Lytechinus pictus: one gene and its partner. The protein of the gene in region 1 interacts with the protein of each later gene in a pairwise test. Links are inferred from orthologs where the notes say so. Each region holds a gene or a part of one and is shown in the gene's direction. Other genes may lie near its edges.

Region 1 (7,196 bases):
AATTTGTCAAATATATTTCTGAAAGAAATTAAAGGATGATTCTATAAAATAGTAATATCAAACAAATGATAATAGCTTGCAATGTATTTATAGTGCTTACTACAGAAATGTATCTTAGGCCCTATAAAAATAGGTTGAAAAAAAGGATGTTCAGCAAAAATGATATTTTATAATTTAAATTTGATAAATTAAGAAGCTGCATATGCTAAGAAAAATGACTGTTTAGTTAACAAAGAGGTTTTGAAATTGAAATCATGAGGCTTCAAACATTGATTGTTGATTAAAACGAAATTGGTATAAAATATACCTGAATCATAAGAAAGACCAAGTCCATCTCATGCCAAACTTAATTAAACGAAAAAAATGTTGCTTATACCTCTCGTGTCCCTGCTTATACATTAGCCCATCATGTGTGTCATTTATATCCTGGAATTCACGTCCCAAACCTTTTGTCAAACAAGAAAAATGTTGTGATTTTGGGATTTAAGAAGCAAGATGGTCATTTGATCACGAATGATAAATCGGAATGCATGAATACATCCTATCAACCAAGCTACCATATTTTTATCACAAGTGTCCACTTTCATGCACAGATAATCCAATGGAATGCTTAATACCCGAAGCACACCGTCCTTTTCTATTGACAACAGAATGCAGGCAGGAATTCATCAAAGAGAGGAGCAACGGATACCTGCAATAAGGATCAAAACAAAATGAATATTAGAAAATTTGCTCTTCGGTATTCTTTCTGGAAATATATCTTCGTTGATCAAGCAATTAATAAATCCTTTACCTGAATAAGCAAAATGCATTTTTTTCTATTTTTCATTTCTCCTGCAATAGGAAAGTTAGCAGATTATCTATATTTTTTTTCTTCAGTGAAATCTTTGAAATTGTCTTATTTCACATATTAAGAGTATAAAATTAGAAAAAAATTTGACCAACAACATTGAAACTTGATAAAAGACAGTAAAAGACATGTAGTAGGGGGCCAATATATTTTTTCTTCATTATCACATACCTCTAGTAGGTGTTGAATACAGAGAATATCACATTGAAAACTGAGTGAGTATACCAACCTATACATTTACAGAAGACCTGTTCTTCCTGCTAAGTACAGGGCTTGTTCCCCATCAGGACTCCTGATGTAGACATGGCCTGGATTGGCCCCAATCGATAGCACCTATGACTCTTGGAAACCTGAAGCAATCATCAAATTGTCGCTGGGTGGTTTGAATTTCTCGTCATTGGAAACTTTATTCACTGTTACTCCTTGCTATTGCCTCAGAAAAATCTTTGATGATTCTGCACACGGATGACTGTGATATAGTTGCTTTGTCTGCTTGCATCTTCTAAAAGGTACCTTTAGTTATCGAATGATAAGTGATGTTATGTAATTGGTTTATTGATATGAAAGCCAATTGATACTTTACCATTTACGTTTGCAAACATTGTGCTTCTGTTATGACCTGATGTTTATGATGCACTGGAACTGCTTAAAGAGATTTTTCTTTGATTCATTAAAAAAAAAACTCTACTGCAATAACAATCCATGCAAAATGGAGAATATCTCTCTAGCTGAAATGACATACCAATATTTCTTTTTGAGTGGTTATAAATCATCCTTCATGATAATTTCCCACTTGAATATGACATATTTGTATTAAAAAATGTTGCTACATTGTAAAAAATGAGAGAAAAATAAAATCCCCACCTATTTCCAACCCAAAGGGTTACGTGTTTCATTCCGACAAAAACCTTTCTGTGAAATACCCCCAACACTCCCCCTCCCATGTAAGGGGTTACTAGTACTCCTGGCTGAAAGCAGAAACAAAAATCGTACAATTTGGATGATTAATAATGAATATTAGGTTTTGCATTAATTATTTCTGTAAAACATGTGCATGTTTTCATGAATATGCAAGAAATAGCCTGATGATGTCACATCCACACATTTTCCACACATGAATGTACAAGGGTTCCATGATATTTGCTCTGGCGACAATTACTCAATGGAAAATCTGCATGCTAAGCAAAACATGAAACTTAATTTTCATGACTAGATACTTCCAATCCTTGATCCTTACATTATTCTGAACTCGCAATAACTATCTTAAATATATAATCAGCAGTCAACCCCATTTTTACATTCCTGGAGGAAAAAATTAATGATTATAATTTCAGATCACTAGAGAACAAGTGGGGATATGAATATTGCATATGAGATACACAGAACTGTTTCCCCCAAGTTATGTAAAACTTTAAAACTGAATCAATTCATAATTCTCCATCCAATATTGATGGTTTTTGCTAGTCGAATTGTTCTTTATCAAAATCTCATCATTTTTGGCCTGGAAAATCACTTTCATAGAACATAATTTGACCCCCCCCCCCCATTACCCTCTGCTTTATAGTTTGCACATGAAAACTCACCAATGACATAAAAGAAAGTCCTGTCAAAACCTGTAACATGACAGGCAATGTGTGGTTCTCTCTGTTGGTACCCCACTCTGAGAGGTTCATCCTCGTAGTATTCAAATGGATTCTTCCTGTCTCTTAATCCATGCTGTGGTCTTTCTATGTGTTGCTGAATCTGCATGGAAGTTGGAAGATTGTGTTGAAGAGTCACCATGAATGGGCAATTTACTCTTTGAATTTCATTTAATTCAAAAGTGTTTAAAATGAGGAACAGAATGTGAAAGATTATACAGAAATCCTTAAAAAAAGATAGGATAAAAATTCTAATTGACATGAGTAGCTTTTCTATTTACCTACTTGTAAAAGTGAAGAAGAAAAACCTGCCAATTGTTGCTGATCATCATCATTGATCAAACCACGCACGTCTTAGAGATGCTTCTATGAAAACTGATTAACTGAATCACTTTCAATTGGCTTTAATAAAGAAGGCAAGGCACTAATTTTATGGAACTTTGTTTACACAAATAGAGGTTATTGCTTGCGAGTGATTTTCGAATAACATATTTTCATGAATCTTCATCAAAGTCTCATTAAACCTTTTTTTCTACCCCCCCCCCCCCCGGCATTCATCAGACTGACAATGTTTTCTTTCTCTCTTTTAAATAAATATTCAACAAAATGTCAGGATTAATTGGAGATCAACAAGCCTTAAAAAAAAAGCTAGTGACCAGTAGACAAATATATATGTTAATAACACACAAGCAAGGTCCCCCCCCCTCTTCTTTTTTGTCAATTACTATGACAAGAATGAAAAAGTAACATACATGTCACATGATACATTTACAATTACATGATGAATTCAAATCCCGGAAATAATATTTTATTTAAGAAGGCCATTTTAATGACATTTAATTTTTTTTAAATATGAATTGATAAGGCATACCTCACTCTCTTGCAAGACGGCACAGCAGTTCAAAATTGTGAGCCATGTTTGCCTTGTCTTGATTGATCACAATCTGCCGAGTATGTATGGTCTGTTGCTGATATGGAAGAAAAAAAAATAATGAAAAAAATATTCATTCATCAATCATACTGCAATGTCAAAGTATAAAAAAAAATAATAAAGCAGCTACAAATGTAGATTGATAAAATCCGCTGTTTCAGAGGAGTCTTGTAACATTTTCTGATTTTTTTTTTGTGGGAGGGGATGCTGCGGAGCCACATGAAGTCTCAGGGGAGCATATCTCTGACAGAAATAAACCTATTTATCGGTCTACTACAAATGTAGAGGACTTAAGATCAAATGCACTTGTCTGTGGTCTCATGTGAATTTAACATTGAAAGGACACCTTGTGAAAAAAAAAATACTTGAAACAAAGAGGGTGGGGTAGAGAAAATAACCCCCAAAAGAGAGAATTTTCAAAGTTAGACCTCAGTTAGATCTACTCAAATTATTAATAAGGCCTAGGATTTCCATTATTTTGTAATGTTTTGACGACACCGTAAATCTAGTATAAGTGATCGCAAATGCGATGCCGAAGGTCAGTAAAACTTAGTTTTAGTAAAAGTAAAATCAGCTCATTTATAGCTGTTGGAGTAAACAGCGGTGAGTGGAACCCAATCTTTTTTTTTTTTAATTTCCAAAAATAATTTAATCAGGGCTTAGTCCACTCATCCTACGAACGAGCCTTAGTCTTACTAGAGAGGTGACCCTTATTATAATATTTTTTTTTACTCCAACGATGTTGTAGGACTAACTCTAACATGGCTACCAGGTAAGCTTCATAGCTTGACCATCTATCCAAGCCAAGGCAAAGCCAGCCCAGAGTAGAATGTCTATACCGGCTCTGTATTTGTAACGTTAGTGTTTAAAAAAAAATTATTTGTAATTGTAATTTGTATTGCTGCTATCCTGCCAGGAGTCCTGGCCTTGCCTTGGCCTTGCTTTAGGCAAAATTAGATGCACAGTAGATTGTGTTGGCAGAGCCAGGAGAAGTGGCAGGGGTATCGTAGACAACAAAAATTTCATGAAAATCACACGAAATCGAGAATCACTCAAAATCACTGCCTGGCATAACTAGTAGTAGTATCGGCCTTTCAATCACGCCTACCTTGCCTGTGTAGTGTACGCTAATTGCGTCTCGCACTGCACTGCACTGCTCATAGATATGAACGCACACAAAAGTACATGGCTGGGACTGAGCAGCTTAGAGACGCGACGATAACAATGATTCAGACCGATTCAGATACCATTTCAAGTTTTCGAGTATACTTTTTGGAAAGTTAAAGCTATCAATAATAGTTACAGATGGAACTGAAGGCTCCGTCATGATTTAAGCTCCAAAAATTATGTAATTTACTTACAATCTCGGTGGAAGTCGTGAAATATGAAGCTTTAGATAAGCCGATCACACCAAATCTCGTCTCTGTCCAAAAAACTTTTTTCTTGCATGCAGCAAACTTTTCCGCAATCGAAATGCTGCTCTCTGATTGGTTAAAACAGTGGACTAACTTTAACCCACCGATTTAGTCCACCCCAAAGAGCTGACTAAGTCGTGACGTCAAATGACGCGTTTTATACCCCGGTATAACTTTAGTCGACCTTTGTGAATCGCAAAAGTTAGCCCCTAGGTGCTAACTTTAGTCCATGGATTAAAATGACGTCAAATGACGCGTTTTATACCCCGGGTATAACTTTAGTCCACCTTTGTGAATTCGGGCCAAAAAGATTAATTGGAAGATGATTAACCCTTGTCTAATTTAGGAGATACTTTTGCATTTTCTCAACCAGCTTGCTAGCAAGTACAAATTGCATATGGTTGGAAAGATGAAAGAGTACTTTAAAAATTGATACCATTCCAGAAACTGTATGTGATGCTGTTCCTGATTAAAGCCAAGTATTTTGAATTAATCATTACCCACTCAAAATTGGCAACATGATAAAATCACAATTTAAAAATGCAAATTGGCAACTCTTCAATACATGTATCCCTTCATAATTGATTTAGACTCGTGTCATATTTCCATATTTCATGTTCGAAGTATAATGAATAGGAAATTCATGATTGTTGCCAATTTAACGAGCATAGGAAGATTAAAGATAAATTCCAGTTGTGGGAACGATCTCAAAATGACTTTCTACAGAATTTAATATAATGATCACCAAAGTGTCTGTTTGTATGAATATTAAATATGTGCCAAAGGATTCTGGAAGAAATTGTGTAATTGCTGAGAAATAAGCGCGGATTCGGTCACTTCCGTTGGGTCTTTATTCCTGCAATAATAATACACTGTCTCACGTGTGCCTATCTGTGTTGGCGATCTTCAGTGTGATCGTTTTTTAGCTAGATATTATGATTTCACAAAGTTCAGTTTATGTAACTGTACCAGATTTAGATCCACGATGATATATCAATACACAGGGTTGTTTGATTTAAATCATGTCGATTTAAATCATGATTTAAATCGCGATTTAAATCACTTGATTTTTTTCAAAAAAATCACTGATTTAAATCAACTTTTATGAAAAAAATTAGTTTTCTCTATTTTCTCTTCTTCTTAACAGATACTTTCAATGTAATCATTTTCATTTCTGTTCCACATGCTTTAGAGATACTTTAAAAGAATGATACACCCTCATGGAGTCTGATTTAACACCACTGTTTTATTTTCAAATTGTAAAACAAGCAAAACTGATGAAAACAACAAGTTTCTAACGAAGTAATGATAAATAACTCTCTGTATGTACACCAAACTGTTAAATCTTCAATAAAATAATATATAAAATCTACAAAGGTGCTCAAAGTCCACAACTTGGATACTATTACAAAACAGCTGAACTACTTGTATGTACCTCCTTCTTGTTACTATTAATACCCATTCTTTAAATTACTTAAGTTGAAGGCATATGTGTACATTGCACTTTTCATGGTGTGTTTTCATCCGCTTCACAATCCCCATCAACTCAAAACCACATAGTTTGCACTTTGCTCTGCATCCAGTTGCAGATTTTGATGGCAGTTTCTCAAAAAAGTACCAAATGGGGTCTGATTTTCTTCCAGACATGCTTATTCATGCATCACAAAAGCTGCAAAACCCTTGTTTATTAGCTATTACCAGCTGATAGTTGGGAAGTCCCCCATGTGATAGTTTTAGGAAATATTCCTAGCTAAAATCCCCCATGTGATAATTCTAGGAAATATTCCCAGCTAGAATTCCCAAGGGCAGTATAGGAACCCTAACAGGCCTTTAATAATGTCAATTTTGTTGGAAATTCTAAAGTTCTTTGAGTACTTCATGCATTGGAGTAACACTTCGGATGTTTTGAACTGACTGATATAAAAATTTCAAGAGTTTAAATGTATACATAATACATAACATTACTTGGGCTTCCATAAAATTTCCCTCTCTATAATGCAAATAAATTAAAAAAAAAAAAAAAAATTACCTGTATATAAGTGGATTATTGTGTCAAATAGTACAATACACAATGTTCAAAAGACTACTTGACCACTATTATTGGTGTAAAACAGTTTAAATATAGTTTAAAACTTGTTAAGTGTGACCATTATTTTTCGTTGGAAAAAAATCAAAAAAATCTGATTTAAATCATAAAAATCCGATTTAAATAAAAAAAAATCAAATTTTTTTGATTTTTTTAAAAAAATCAAAAAAATCAACAACCCTGTCAATACATTACCTTGGTTTTACAGACTTTCTCACGAAATCAGTGTTTTACTGCAACTACGTTCATTTAGCTTTAATTTGAACTTATGAAA
Region 2 (7,904 bases), on another chromosome or scaffold:
ACGTATACAAAGTAACTTGTCTTGTCGACAAAATGAGATTATACCTTGCTAAATCGACTTATTAAAGCCCGGCGCACACTATGCGATTCGTTGCGATCCGAATTTCAAAGAAATTTTGATATGTACATTGGCGTAACCACTGGGGGCATGGGGGCACGTGCCCCCCCCCCCCAAAAAAAAAAAAAAACAGAGGAAAAGGAGAAAAAAGGGAGAAAGAATGAGAAACGTATAGTGGGGAAGAAGAAATTTCATTATATTATGTTTTTCGTAGCTTTATGAAACATAATTTGCTTAGGGCCTATATGTGTTCATCATTCCTGGTTCTCGCATTGTCTGTTTAATGAGATATTATAATCCTGCTGTACTAAAACATCCCGTTTTCAAGTCAATATACACCAAATATATTTCCTCGCACTTCGAGTTATCGTTATTTTTGGTAGTGACATATGCTTCTTTTACATAGATATCTAAAGTGATTGCCCCCTTTATAAAACATATCCAGTCTGGGCTTACGTTCGCATTAGTGAATTGGTGAGATATGTCTGCTCTTCATGAATTCCTAAAAACAATTCCTAAAATGTCCACTTTTCCGGTCTGAATATAAAAAATTTATCAAAAATCAGCCCGGACCATCCCTTTAAAATGTCCTGTTTGGGGTCAATATAGGCCTATACAAAAATTGAAGCTCGCGCTTCGCGCTCGCATTGCTTGTTTGGGGAGACAGGTACGTGCCATGATTACAAAAATTTGCTTATGTCAGTCCTTTTTTACGTCTGAATATAAAAAATTTCAGCTCGCGCTTCGCGCTTGCATTATTTTATCAGTGAGATACAAATCCATTAAATGGCACAGTCCTTAAAATGTCTCTACAAGGTTAGTATACCTGGCAATTTCGCGCGCTTCGCGCGCCCACTAAGCGACCCAAAATTTTAGCTGGTGCCCCCCAATGCCGTGACCCACGGTACGCCACTGCATGGATATGTACACTCAAACCAAAGACTCCGACCAATGATAGCGAAATCGAAATTCAGTCTATAGTTTGAGCCTCCCTGTAGGCCTATAGGAATAAAGGCAAATTATCCAAATCGTAATGACATCATCATCGGCTGTGACTTGAAACCGATTTGGACTTTAATCCGACCACAGGGCTTGCCCAAACCATAATTATGATGTTCTTATTCCTAACAGTTATGCCGAACTTCAAATGAAATAATTTTAATTCTTGGAATTTTCACATTTAATGCAAAATGCGATTTACTAAAAAAAAAATCGCGTCGCATCAGATAACATAGTGTACGCTGGGATTAATATAAAAGTAAAATCTCAAAATGGCGAAATAATAGGCATTCGTTATGTTGCCAAGTCGACTTATGAAACGTTGAATGTCGACATGTCGAGAGATGAGTCAACCACATCGTATGGAATATTAGAGGAGCAGCGGCGTAACAGGGGTCGGTGGCCAGGGGGGCAAGAGCCAAAAATGTCCAGGTCATATCATGGTATGAACAGGCATAAGGTGTAATGAGGCGACGATTTTGAGAGGGCCAGACATTGCGGATCAGGCAGAATTTATCTTTAAAAAAAAGTTGCGAGCGAGCAAAAAATTTTGACATTTTTAATACAAAAATCCAATTTTTTGACAGATTTTGACATGATATCCAGAGAATAATATATTTCACTCTTCTCTCTTTCCATTCCTTTTTTGTGGTCTGTACGCCACTGTCAACAGGATTCTTTGCGGCAGTAGCGTGAAGAGTAAAAATAAGCGAGCGAGAAAAAAAATCACCTTTTCATGAGAATCTAACTTCGAGATATTTTTTAACATTATATTCAGTAAATAAATCATATCCTACACTTTTCCTTTGCTTTTCTTTCCTCCTTTTTTTTTCTTGGTTGTAGAACTTCTGGGGACCATGGCCCAACCATTCCATACTCATGTACGGCAGTGCTATGCGGTTGGGGTCCGGGGCAGAGCCCCCGGAAATTTTTTATATCAAAGCCATTTAAACCTCGCAGATTGCCGCCATTTTCAATCAAATCGCGGGTATATACAGAATATAGCTTTTACACAACACATTTATTCAACCCAGTTGAAACAAAATATGGGCAAAACGTAGCAATGTGGAAAATTTGTAAAAAGTCGCCAGCGAGCGAAGCGAGCTGGAAAAAAAATTGCCTATTGAAATTAAATTCTAATTATGCGTTAGGGGAGACCGGGGCTAGTTTGCACTTGTAAGGGTAAGTTCGCCACCCTCGTTTTTTTCATAATCTATACCGGTGACGTCAACGACGCATTTGCGCTATGTCGTGTGACCGACGCTGCGCGCACCAGCCACATTTTTTTCGCCATTCAAGAAGATTTGAAATTCTATCTCGAAATTCATCATTTTCGTCAAAGTGAGTGAAAAATTGGTCCTTATTTAATATTGTATATGCTACTATATGCCTAGATAATTTCATGCTATCAATGCCAGTTTCCGATAAGCAAATATGTGCCCTTTTTATCCCCGAATGTAATTTGCCTATCCCTGCCTCCCCTGTTTACACAGAGTCACTTGAGCATGATTTGCACCCGTGAGGCTAGTCCGCCGTCTATCAACGGGGCATGATCGCCGGGGAGGTGAACATGCCCCGTGGAGGAGGCGAATTTACCCCGGTCTCTACTGGAAATAGAAAATAAGATATGCTGTGCGCTTTTATTTATTTATTTCAAATCTTTATCCAGAGTAGCCTGTTCAGTTCAATATACTTAAATATATTAAATTACACAAATATGTACAATTAAAATGGATAAAAAATCACTGGTCTTCCACAGGCACAGGGCTCTGCATTATTATCTACATACATATAAAAATGCATAACATGCAGAAATCATTTCATTATAAGAATAAACATCAAAACAAAGCAAAAGAAGACATCAATTATCATTATAAGAATCAAAATGAGATAGCAACCGGAAATGTTAAGGAGAGAGAGAAAGAGACCTAAAGATGCGACGTTTATGTATATATTAAGAAGTAATATTTTGCACACTTTTTGTTTTCAGGATGGTACGCACATAATTTATGCCAGAAAAACAGAACGGGCGAGAATTCCGCCTGACGTCGTGAAGTAGAAAGTGTTACCTCTTACTTCAAGACTGGTCTTAAAATTCAAGTGCAATGTGGGTTAAAGCTTAGCCTTACGAAGGTTTGGTCAGCAGTATCTTTTTATTTATTTATTTTGTATTTTCAATTTTAATTTTGATTTATTTTCAATTTATGAAATTTTCAATTGAATTATTTTCGTTCTATGTAAGAACAACGAGTTTTCTGGTTTGTTGTTAATAAAGCAGTTACAGAATTGAATAAAATTGTATAGTTTATTTCTTTGGCAAACTTGCCCCGTCATAGGCGCAATTATACCCGGGGGGTAGGTGAACCTGCCCCAACACGGGGCAGGTTCACCTACTTCGAAAATTTTCATTCAACATTGAATTCCTAAAAAAAGTGATAGCTGATAGGATTGAAGTGATGCTGTAATTTAGCAAAGAGTCATAGCTATCAAATGAAGACATTTGGGCACTATGTTGACTTGTAATTTGGACTGTATACGGCGACTTTAGTAAAAAGGGGGCGAACTAGCCCCGGTCTCCCCTATAGAGCCATTTGAAGGTTACAGATGAGAGCCCCTACTCGATCCATGGGGTCTGGGGCAAATCCCCGGTACCTTATTTGCATAAAATTTAGCAAGCTTATAGTTCAATGTTGTATGCAGTCCATCTTTCTTCCCGCTCTTTATTTTCAATCCTCGGCAGCCCGGTCGAGTTATTAAGTTTTTTTTTCTCTTTGTTTTCCAATTTAGCTTTTGACTATTCCATTCTACCTTCATTCCCCGCTATTAATTGTTTGCCATGCATTTTGTCATCTTTTAATTTATTTCCCATCATGCTATTGCATTACATAGGCCTATTTCGGAATGATTTGTTCTTTCTCAAATGTTCTTCTTTCGTTCCTTTTCCCGCTTTCCTTCCTTTTGGGCCTTTTCCTCCTTTCCTTTTCCCCTTTCCTTCCCCTTTCCCTTTCTTTCTCCCTCCCTTTTCTTTTTTTTCCCGGTTTTTTTAATTTCCCGGTGAAATCCGCCAGGGGGGCAGCTTAATTGCCCGATGCCCCCCCCCCCCCCCGCCTGTTACGCCACTGTAGAGGAGAACTTTTTTGTGTGCTATATAGGCCTATTAGAGTTGGCGCTGTTGAAGAAAATGTGGCGCAGAAAAAGTGGACGAAAACCAAAATGATAAGAGAACACTAGAAGTGAAAATACAATCTGGGCATTACCAAATAGCCGTGTTACGATCTGCGTGTAGAAAAAATGTGGTTTTTTTCAGAAGCAACATGGCATAGGGCATTCTAGTAAATCCACTTGTGTGAGAAAATAACTATTTTCATCACGGCTGAGTTATGAAGCAATAATTATAGATGGAAATGGGAGCCGCATAAAAACGTCAAGTAAGGCGAAGTCTCTTTCTTTTTTCTTTTTTTTAATTTTTCCTTACAGAGGGGGGGGGGGGGCTCGCCGCCACAAAATTAGGGGCGTGATCCCCTATGCGGCCCCTAGGCTCTACGCTAGATCTGGGCATGTCATGATCATCCCTTTTCATCAATATTTTCGTCCGACAAATTGTCAGATGTACGCCACACGAATCTAAAAAGTACCTAGACCATATCATCAAACAACTAAATAACAAATTGAATGACCTTTGAATTTTAGTGTACAATCGGTGAAATTTAAATCTCGATTTAATTTGTTCAGAGAACTTGCTCAAAAACCTGCTAATCCGATGCTAAAATAGCTAGGCCTATATCAAAATCATGAAAATCCTTTATTCATCCAACACACTAGCTCTTTAATTGTGGCCTTCATGTATAAACATATTAAAGCATGATTATTTCATATTTTAATAAGCCTTTAATAGTAATTTTTTTAGACGGAGCACGGCTGGCTGTTAGAGGCCGCACAGAGGCCGGCCGAACCGAGCTAGGGTTAGGCTCGGCGAGACCGATCGAGCGGATTTTTGACCAATCAAAACGTGATCTCAAACAATAACGATTTGAACTGTCGACACGTTTGTTTACATTTTATTGATTCGTGCGGATCGAAGTTTCGTACAGAGCAGAGCCAGAGCAAAGGTGTGGAAACATTTGATTAGCACTTGGTAAGTTAATGTGTTGTAGGCCTAGTTTATTTTCAAATAAGTAGAGTCTATTGCCTATTGGTAATGTTCCGACAATTTGATTAGAATTTAGAGATTGGGTAGATCTCGAATGAATATTTTGTAAGTCGGACCGGACCTGGCGTTATCATCGCACCGCGCTGGTACGTTGCTAACCCAGGGCCAGGCCCAGGGAGCTCGGGCACGCGAAGCGGGCCGGAGCCCAGGGGAGCGTTTCATCAATATTTTCATCCGACAAGTTGTCAGATCTGACATCTTTCCATGATTTTGATTGGCAGAGAGGCACTGTTCCTATGGTAACTGTCGGATAAAATGGGACTTGTCGGATAAAACGTCCGACAAGTCCTTTCATGAAACGCTCCCCTGGAGTCGTCCGTGTAATACGAGACAGACCACTCACACAACATGCGAGGTTAGTATACTGGAGACAGACATATTCTCCAAGATGGGGTAGATTGGGGTCGCAATAGCACTCAAAATAAGGGGGAAAATAAATTATGCACTTATGGTAACTCGATTATATGGATGAAGGTCTATCGTGAGACAGAAATCCTGACATCGAGGCACAAACTGGACCCTCAAAAAAAGGAAAAGTTCTGTCTCGTTCGTTCTCCTTCTGTCAAAATTGAAAACAAAATGGCCGATCGATACCGAGAACGAATGTGACAGAGGTAAAACTTTTCCTTTTTTGAGGGTCCAGTTTGCGAGCTCCCTGGGTTAATACGTTGCCTGCCCTCGCTTTGAAGGTCAGTAAAACAACCGGTGGTACGATGGGGGTCGGGTGTCCGGACACTTGACTTTATATTTTTGAAGCCTTCTTTTTTGTCTTTGGATCGGATTACACTATATGAATTCAATAGTTGTAATCATCTTCTATTTTGTTCTCGCTTCGGTCTAATGTTATGTTGGTTGTTCCGCTGAACTCCGTTGGCTCCACTCACCAAATACAGAGACCGAAGTTCTAGCTCAATCTGTACAGGGGACTCGATGGCCATATGTATTAAGTTTGGATAAAACAGGGAAGTGAAGTTGCGCGACAGCCTAAGTAAGTCACTGTTTTTTCCCCTTTTAAGTTTATTTTTCCCCGTTTTCGTGCATTTCAGGCCAAAACGGAATAATAATCTTTATTTTGGTACAGGTCTTTTTATATATTTTTATGAAAATCGATGAGCCCCGTCGGGGGAATTTTGCATTGTTAACCCCCTAATGGTGGCTGCACGATAGCGAGCCGTCTGTGTACGAGGAGAAATTAGAAGGAAAAAAATGTTACAAAACTCCTCGAAACAGACGGCTGCCAGCTGTCTAAGAGAAATGTTGACAAGTATATCCACTGAAATATAAAGAAGAGGATACTATAGTATAGCTATACATGGTGTAGTTCACATTCTGATACTGATCATTTGTTTGTTTGATTTTTTTTCTTGTGACAGACACTAATTTTCTAAAAATCAACAGAGATGGCATCAAGAGCAAGGGGACCTAATGAGGAAGGAGGATTCGTCAAATGGGACTGGAACAAAAACAAATACATTTGGGTCTCAAAAGATGACATCAAAAAGGTTGGTATTATATTTCTTGATCAAACTATCAATTCAGAAGCCAATTCTGTGAAATGAACATTTTGAACAAAGGCCAAATTCCACCAATTTTTTTTTATGGGTCAAACAATTCTTGATTTCAAAGCATTACATGTATGATGTATGTCAGCAAGTTTGAATTGCAATCTTACTCTTACCTTTGTCCCCGAAATCCAACTAAACACAATATTGGAAAGCACCAAATGAAAGCCATTCTTTTTAGTAGCACTGAAATGTTTTGTATATCACTTCACCCTTAATTTTGATTTATGATTGTATTGGTAGTGTCAATGAATGGGATGGGAAGCTCCTTTATCTATTAAATATTATATTGTCTCAGTATGTATGGTTATGGTATGATGATTGTTTGTCAATATGGTATGATGATTATTTGTCTTACACATATAGTGAGACCACCACATATCAACCACCTCTTTTGAAACTGACCACCTTACGCGCATTTAAATTATTGCGTATTACAAACGATACGCGCGGGAGAGTAGGCGCAGTGTCCATAGGAACGGTAAAATTTGATTTTACAAGAGAAAAAGAAGGGGGGAAAGGTAAAAATTTAGTAGAATTTATCAAAATTGTTTTGACTAGACCCGAACCCGCCCCGTTTCCGATAGGAAGGGCTTTAGAACAAATATCCGTCGTCAATCGTCGAATCATGTGCCGGAGCTCGCAGTGGAAGTAGTGAGACGATCATTTAGCATGTTGACATCATAGAACTGATTTGGAAGATTCGCCACCGCGACAAGAATCGGCCGTAAACTTAGTGTATCACGGGTGGTCGGTTTCAAAAGAAGGGTGCAAATGAGCAAATGTAAAACCGTCGTATTCGTTGTTCGCCAATATATACGCGAATTGAATCAGAGTCACTGATCAAAACATGGGAATCTGATCTGCTTAATTTTCTGCACAAATGAGACGAAAACTAGGTTAAACTGATAAATATTTTTGCAGATACGATGCTTAGAAAATTAGGTGGTCGATAAGGGGTAGTTCCAACCATACTGAATATTATTTTATGTCATTATCTACTCATTCTTACAATTATCCTAGATTAAATCACTTATTGAATGATCAACTGTCTTATTTTGATGCTTGGCATAACT

Evidence for each region.
Region 2: the proteins of microfibrillar-associated protein 1-like (region 1) and KATNB1-like protein 1 interact in binary tests that used the Homo sapiens proteins (3 or more experiments, as listed by UniProt). The link is inferred for Lytechinus pictus from reciprocal best matches to the Homo sapiens genes MFAP1 and KATNBL1.

The regions. Positions count from the first base shown.
Region 1 is NC_087250.1:22,583,558-22,590,753, forward strand, and holds the start of microfibrillar-associated protein 1-like, read left to right. Parts: upstream 1-4,182; coding exon 4,183-4,193; intron 4,194-7,196. UniProt on the Homo sapiens protein: Involved in pre-mRNA splicing as a component of the spliceosome.
Region 2 is NC_087251.1:16,893,794-16,901,697, reverse strand, and holds the start of KATNB1-like protein 1, read left to right. Parts: upstream 1-4,902; 5' UTR 4,903-5,191; intron 5,192-6,639; 5' UTR 6,640-6,666; coding exon 6,667-6,768; intron 6,769-7,904.